2 linked regions of the Cricetulus griseus genome follow. The protein of the gene in region 2 purifies or fractionates together with the protein of the main gene of each other region. This does not show direct contact. Links are inferred from orthologs where the notes say so. Each region holds a gene or a part of one and is shown on either strand. Other genes may lie near its edges.

What was found.
Region 1: the proteins of Mthfd2 (region 2) and Hras purify together in Homo sapiens (co-immunoprecipitation; 4 studies listed by BioGRID and IntAct, with this or other methods). This does not show direct contact. The link is inferred for Cricetulus griseus from reciprocal best matches to the Homo sapiens genes MTHFD2 and HRAS.

What each region holds. Positions count from the first base shown.
Region 1 is NC_048596.1:59,992,291-59,996,195, reverse strand, and holds the start of Hras (GTPase HRas), read right to left. Parts: upstream 2,702-3,905; 5' UTR 2,627-2,701; coding exon 2,548-2,626; intron 1,677-2,547; coding exon 1,525-1,676; intron 1,338-1,524; coding exon 1,159-1,337; intron 1,026-1,158; coding exon 866-1,025; intron 772-865; coding exon of another isoform or gene 690-771; intron 206-689; coding exon 86-205; 3' UTR 80-85; exon of another isoform or gene 1-79. UniProt on the Homo sapiens protein: Involved in the activation of Ras protein signal transduction. Ras proteins bind GDP/GTP and possess intrinsic GTPase activity.
Region 2 is NC_048601.1:74,799,454-74,803,358, forward strand, and holds the start of Mthfd2 (bifunctional methylenetetrahydrofolate dehydrogenase/cyclohydrolase, mitochondrial), read left to right. Parts: upstream 1-1,534; 5' UTR 1,535-1,592; coding exon 1,593-1,693; intron 1,694-3,905. UniProt on the Homo sapiens protein: Although its dehydrogenase activity is NAD-specific, it can also utilize NADP at a reduced efficiency.

The sequences.
Region 1 (3,905 bases), on a different chromosome or scaffold from region 2:
CAGGGACATCAGAGTGGATATGAAGTTCATCTGGCTAGCTGGGGCCACTGCCCCAGATGTCTGCTGGTCCCTGCCTCACCTGGTGTCAGGATAGCACACACTTGCAGCTCATGCAGCCAGGGCCACTCTCATCGGGTGGGTTCAGCTTCCGTAGTTTATGCTGCCGAATCTCACGTACTAGTGTGTAGAAGGCATCCTCCACACCCTGGGAACAGAGGGACTGGATCAGAGGGGACTCCAAGGAGGAAAGGGGTGCTGTTTGGGTAAGAAACTCCCTGCCTGGATCAGGTAACACCCCAACCCTGGAAAACAACCCTTCCTCGGCTGCACAACCAACACAAATAGGGAGCTGGGCTCTGCACATCTAAAAGGCACAGGACCACTCTCCTTAAGTAGGCTCACTCTGGAATATCCTTCAGAGCAACTCGACTCAGAACTCTCCCAGACCCCCAGTATGGCTCAGGTCTGAACACCCTGCCCATACTTAGGGCTCAAAACTAACAGGTACTCATAGGACACTATGAGGACAAGAAGGACTAGGCTCCTGGGTCACCGCTCCGGCCTGGCTCAGGGCAGCTCTCTCCATGGACCCCCTCCTGCCCTGGCGCTGTGTCAACCCAGAACTGCAGGGCATAAGCCCAGACCCTGGCCCTTGCCTCCCTCACAGCCCTGCCGTCTGGGAGACTTACAGCATGGGGGCCGCTGGGTCACATGGGTCCCGGGGGGGTCCCAGAGGGTCCCGGAGCTGGAGCCAGAGCCAGAGCGGCTGCCCTGTGTTGAGGGAGAGGGGCGATGAGCTCTGCTCCCTGGCTGGGGTGGGGTGGGGTGAATCCCTGACTAGCTATGGAGTGGGGAGCAAGCTCACCTGCCGGGTCTTGGCTGATGTTTCAATGTAGGGGATGCCATAGCTGCGGGCAAGGTCCTGGGCCTGCCGAGACTCAACAGTTCGAGCAGCCAGGTCACATTTGTTCCCCACCAGCACCATTGGCACATCGTCTGAGTCTTTCACCCGCTTGATCTGCTCCCTGGAAGGGGATGGGGAGTATGTGAGCCAGCTAGCAGGTTACAGGCATGGCTGTACCCAGGACACTCAGAAGACATAAACCCTCAGTGTGCACATGGAACCTTCCTCACCTGTGCTAGCCATAGGTGGCTCACCTGTACTGATGGATGTCTTCAAAGGACTTGGTGTTGTTGATGGCAAACACACAGAGGAAGCCCTCCCCTGTGCGCATGTACTGGTCCCTCATGGCACTATACTCCTCTTGACCTGCTGTGTCTAAGATGTCCAGCAGACATGTCTCCCCATCAATGACCACCTGTTTCCGGTAGGAGTCCTGTAAAAAAAACAGAGCTTAGGCGTTCCACCTCTCCTCAGAGAATCCACAGAGCCCACCCACCCTTGCACCTCTCATGTTCTGATAGATTAGGTGGCAGCAGACCCATACCACCTGCAAGACCTAGCTATGTGGGCCTTCCTGACTCTTCCATGACCACTGCCAGAGCCAGGTAGCCAGAGCTCACCTCTATGGTGGGGTCATACTCGTCCACAAAATGGTTCTGGATCAGCTGGATGGTCAGGGCACTCTTTCCCACGCCTCCAGCGCCCACCACCACGAGCTTGTATTCTGTCATCGCTTCTATAGAGGCTGCCACTCCAGGAGCTCCTGCCCCACCTGCCAATGAGAGCCACACTTATCCAGGCCCGGGCCACTTGAGACTGCTAGTAGATGCCTGACCCAAAGGCCCTAACCAGCATTGAGCAGGCAGGCCAGCCACCACAGTGGCCCAGTCACTCACCTGTGGCACCTCCAGCTGGGACAGGGAGGCCCCCCACCTCCTCCACCAGCACTTAATGGCTGTGTGAGGAAGCAGGGAGAGGCCCCCAAGGCAGGGCTGACAGCTGAGAGCTTCTCCCAACCACGCACCCAAATTAGAAGTCGCTAGGTAGGCAGAAAGCCTCAACGGGAGGTGCCTGAGGGCTGAGGCCACCCCCCAAAAACAGGTCCTGCCACGGCGGACTCAGCGTGCCCAGGCAGGCCAGTGCCAGCCTACAACCGGCTCCGGCCCGCCGGCATGTGGGTGCAACCGACAAGTATTTACTGAGCGCCTACTGCATGCCAGGCGCGGTCCGGGCAGCGGGGGAAGGGTGGCTGGAGAGGGACCCTGCCCTCCGCTGAGACAGACCTTCCACAAGAGGCCAGGGAGCCTTCAGCAAGCAGGGGTGGAAAAGCGGCTGAGGGTGTGGGAAGCAGGTGACTGCGGGAAAGACTCACAAGGGGCGCGAGGGGTGACTGGGGAACAGAAGGCCCTGATTGGGGCCTGAAGCGGGTGTCCTTGTAGCCCCGAGGCCGGAGCGTGATGGCCGCGGGGCGCAGAGTCTCCGGAGGCCCGGGCGGCGCCTCGCCGGGAGGGCGGCTACAGGCGGGGCGGGCCGGGCCGGGCCGCAGAGGCGGGCAGCCGGGCGCTAGGCACGCTGCCGGGGTGAGAGGAGAGGGGAAGCACCGATCACCTGCGCCCCGCGCCCCACCCCACGCCCGCACTCACCGCTTGCTGGAGTGACTGCCCCCGGGGCCGGGGCCGGGGCAGGGTGGGGGCGCGGACCGGCGCTGGCTGGGCCGCGCATGAGCTCCGTCCGCGGCGGGTGCGGCTCGGGCTGCGGGCGCCGGGCGCGGACGGCGGGGACTCGGCCGGGCCCGCGCTCGCCCCGCCCCGCTCCGCCCCGTCCGTCAACTCTAGACAGTCGGTGATTGGTCGAGCTCCGCCTCACCGCGACCTGTTGTGGTTGGCTGAGCGACCCATCCGTCAGGAGCCGCAGCTAGGCGGGGCTTCCTGGAGTAGCAGAGAGAGCGCTGTCGCGACCTGGGTACTGCACTCAAATGAGTGACGCCTAGTTCCGAGGTGCGGAAGAGAATGAGGGAACCCGAGATTCCTCCGGAGAGAAACTGGGGTACGCTCGGGTTGGGTCGCGGGGCCTGCCACAGAGCCCACACTCTGCAGCCGCTCCAGAGGCCCAAAGGCCCTGGGAGCGGAAAGGTCATTCCGACCGGGACCTGGCGTCGGGGACAGTCAGCACCGCGGACGCGGGATACCAGAGGAAGGCAGAACCCGCCGGAACCCCAAGCTGCCTGTTCTCGGAGGCCGAGGTGTAGCGAAGGCCCCATCCCGAGGCAGCATCGGCCCATCACACCGCGCTCCTTGTGCTTTGGAGAAGACCCTCCCTTACCTCCCCCAAAACTCGAGGTCCCAACCCTGCAGCAGCTCATACTGTGCCCCATTTGAAGAACGACCCCGGAAGTCAGAAAAGTTGGTATTAGGGCGAAATGAAATGTTCCATCCACTCATGCAAGTAGGGTACATCTGTGTCAGACGCAAATGACATGTTTGCAACTTTTTGAAAATTTCAAAGAAACGAGTAAGAACGTCCTCCTTAGAAAACCGACAGGGCTTTCTCAGGTGATGCAGGCCTGGGGACGCGCGCTCACGTGTATCCCGGGGTGAGAGCTAGGCTCGGCCGATGCGGCCAGCAGTCAGATAACCCAGAGCGGGACAGAAACCTCTCACGGGCAACTCTCCGAACCTCTGTGGGCGTCTTCTCATCCGTCTCGCTTGCCTGCCACTCAGGGGAACCCTGCCACCGGATCTGCCGCGTGTCCCGGCAACCGTTGCTAGGGGGCGGGGCTCATCCTGCCGCAGCCCCGGATGCCCGCGGCTCACGAATATTTGGGTATTCAAATGAGGCCCCGCCCCCGTTGCCATGGCGCCAGGGCCGCAACCCCACCGCGGAGGAAAAAATAAAAAAAACCCTCACTTGAGAGAGCGACCGCCTTGGTGGAGGGGTCCAGGGCTGGGCCCCTGGTCTCGGGCATCCTGGCCCACCCCTCAGGTGAGAGCTGCCTCTTCAT
Region 2 (3,905 bases):
ATACCGGCGTACCTGGTACGCCAGATGAACACAGAACTGCCACTTGGCGTCTGTGTGTCATTTGTTTGATATCTCCTTGTAAATAGATTAAGATAATCTATGTTATTCCAAAGTTTCAGGAACATGTTTTTTCTTTTGCTGGACAGTGTTTACTGTCCAAGCCTATGATCTTTCTTCTCCACATAGAAATGAGAAATGCCTAGTACTTTTTAGGGGATTAATTAGTTAATTTTCTCAATGTTGTGATCCTCTACCTGACAAGATGGAACCTAAGGGAAGAAGCATTCATACTGGCAGGTAGTGTGGGGATATACAGCCCACTGTTGTGGGGGAGGCAGAGAAGCTCCCAGCTGTGGTAATGGGCGCCTGAGGCTGCTGGCTCACATCTCAATAGATGGGGGGTCAGAGTGGGGAAACACAGGCAGGCTTTCTCCTTTCCCCCATTTTATTGATCTCCAGTCCCCAGTCTGTGGGATAGGTGGACTTTTCCTCCTCAGTTAAACCTCTCACAGACACACCCAGAAGTGGGTCTCCCAGCTCCCTCTAAATCCATGGGAGTCTTACTAGTTTAGGAAAGTCTGTAAATTAATTTTCAGATTTTTAAAAAAGATTTATTTATTTATTATGTACACAGTGTTCTGACTTCATGTATGTCTGCGTGCAGGCCAGAAGATGGCACCAGATTTCACTACAGATGGTTGTGAGCCACCACGTGGTTGCTGGGAATTGAACTCAGGACCTTTGGAAGATCAGGCAGTGCTCTTAACCGCTGAGCCATCTCTCCAGCGCCCCCCCTCTCCGCCCCCGCAAAATTAAAAAAAATGCTTTTTATTATGTGTATGTCTCTTGTGTGCATGCCCTTGGAGGTCAGAAAATATCTGATCCTCTGTAAGTATGTATGTATGTATGTATGTGTATGTATGTATGTATGTGTATGTATGTATGTATGTGTATGTATGCCACATGTGTGTGTAAGGGTGTCCTTGGAGGCCAGAAGTGTCTGGTCCTCTGGAGCTGGAGTCACAAGAGGTTTGGAGCCACTAGGAGGCTTAAAATCGAACTTGGGTCCTTTGCAAGGGCTACAAGCAATCTTAACCGCTGAGCCGTCTCTCCAGCTCCTATGTGACAAACATACATGTAAGTATTTTGCTCCTTATTCAAGTTTTCACTCAGTTGTTTTGACATCCTTTGATGATTGCGGATCAATTTTCAGTATGATTTTGCCAAGTGGTGATTTTTTTTCTTTAAAAATAAATATTACTTTAGTGATTTTCAGATCCTCGGCACACAGTAGGTGGTTCAGACTTTTGTTCGATGAATGAATGACTGAATGAATGAATGAACCCCAGATTCGGTTGGCCTGGCTGGGGGGGGGGGAAGAGAACCTCTGCTGCCTCTATTAGGGGCTTGACTCCCTCAGCCAATCAGGACGTGGTCCCGGGCCGGCTTACGTAAAATGGAGACCTCCTATTGGCTCCGCCTCCGGCTCAGGGACCAATGGGCGTGTGGAAAGGCGGGGCTTCCGCGGGCCGGAGGTATAGCTTCGTGGCCCGCGCGCGCGCTTCTCTCCGGCGCGGGCACCGGCGCGGGCCATGGCTTCATCCTCTCTGTTATCCGCGTTGGCTGTGCGGTTGCTGCGCCCCGCGCCCGGCTGCCACCCGCGCCTGCAGCCCTTCCACCTGGCGGCAGTGCGGTGAGTGTGTCGGGGAGTGGGTCCGCGGGGTCGCGGAGCGCGGCGGGGACAGATGTCCTCCCTCCCTGAGCATCTTTCCGGCGCGGGACCCGCCGCTAACGGAGGGAGGGGTGTGGTGGGGCGACGTGGCACCGGGGCACACGTGGAGATGCGGACGCTTGCCCAGGGGACAGCGTTGCGCCGCCGCCGCCGCAGGGAAGGGTGCGGAGAGGTCCGCCTTTCCCGGACCCTAGCGGCAGCCGGGGTTGCTGCAGTCTGATGAAATCCGCGAGCCGGCTTGCTCCAGGGGTACCGACTTCCCTCCTCCCGAGTGGGTGTGGTTCGAAAGATGCCCCTGCCGCGCGGCGGTCCCCCAGTCCACTCCGTAGCCTGCCAGTTCTAGCCCCGGCGATGTGAGGGTATACATGCCCCACAAGTTGCCGGGGGCTACTGGGAGTAGGAGCTGCATTGTTTTAGGGGGAAGCTACAGTGTTGGAGCTTCCGTTCTGCACGTGGACCGCCGTGGTGGTCACTCCATTCTGAGAGTGTTTAATACCACGTAAACTGTGTGCTTGGAAATTGCCAGAGTTCGGCGCGTTGAGATTGCTCCTGAGGCAGGGGGATTACTGCGAGTTCAAAGCTAGCTTGGACAATGTAGTGAATTGGAGACCAGCCCGGGCTCCCTCCCCAATCTCAAAATATCAATTAAAAAAAAAAAAAGTCACAATGATAAATTTCGTATTCGTATTTTGCCGTAATTTTTAAAAGTTGAAAAAATGAGGCCCTCCCCTTTAACGTTAAGTTGATTGAAGAAAAAAAATCTGATGGGGAAGGCAGGAAAAGTTCTGTTTGCATTTCTTTCGGGGGCAGGGGGGGGTAATTGAGTTGCTGGATCTTTCTGGACCTCAGACTCCCATTTCTGTGCCTAGGTAGGGAGAGTCCAATGGGGGTGTGTGATTTCTTCCCCTACCATCTATGCACTTTGCAATGTTGCCTGAATCCTGTGTCTTGTAAAAGCTGGTTGTGTGTGGTGTAGTCCCCCAACCCACCTCCCCAACACATCACAAGAGTTTGAGACTGAAAATTTAGAGCTGATAAAATCTTTGCCTTCCACAATGGGACTTTTGTTCCTGTTGAAGAGAAAGCAGGTGAGATTTCCACCAGTTGGAAGACATTTCCGGGCCCTGCTTGTTGGAACACAGGATGCTGAGGGTTTTTTTGTTTTTTGTTGTTTTTCCAGTGTTTCTCTGTGTAGCTTTGTAGACCAGGCTGGCCTCAAACTCACAGAGATCCACCTGCCTCTGCCTCCGGAGTGCTGGGATTAAAGGTGTGCACCACCACGGCCTGGCTCGATCCTGAGATTTTAGAGGACTTGGAGGGACATTATTCAGGTTTCCTGAGATCTGATCCTAAGCTGCCTCTTTGAGCTCCATCTTTAATTTCTCTGTCCTTTCCTCTTCCTGAGTTCTGGTCGCTAGTGGCTGTGGGCCACATGTTCAGAGACCTGGCTAACTGAAAAGATCCTGTAATTCATTACCCCCCCAAAATAGACCAGTTTCCTTGCGCTCTGGTTCACTCTTGACTGCTATTCTGAGAAGTGTGTGTTCCTTATCTCTGAAGGCAATCTGTACCAACTGCCCTGTACATTAGATAATTACAGTGTCCACTTTGTTGTTCCAGGGTTTCAGGAACATAAACTCCATGGTTGAAGGGAGAGTACTGTAGCCTAGGAGACGGTGGAGGAGTAAATTAACTTGGTGGCAGATGTTTACACTTGAATCTTGTTTTTTTACTGTTTTCTCTTCTGTATAAAACAGAGTTTTTATAATAGTCACGATAACCAAGAGTAATTTATGTAAAGATGTTGGCAAAATACCTAGTGTTCAGTCAATGTCGGTTTTATACCCCCCCCCTCATTACTGGCCCATTAATTAAGTAGCAGAACTTTTTCCAAAATAAGTTGGTTGGGAGTTATAAGTTTCCCTTATACAGACTGGAAAATCACTAACTGTTGGTTTAAGAGGAAAATAAATATTACTGACTTGGATATTTTATTTGACCTTTATTAGACTTCTTTCTAGGCTGTCATTTTAGTAGGAAAATTTCTAAACATGTCTGGAAGCATTTAATATCTAAATTAAGTGTACAGACTTAGAATGTCTTTTTTTTTCTAGTTTTGGGTTGGAGTTCAGTCTCCTATCTCCCCCCCTTTTTTTTCCCTCTGGAGACAGGG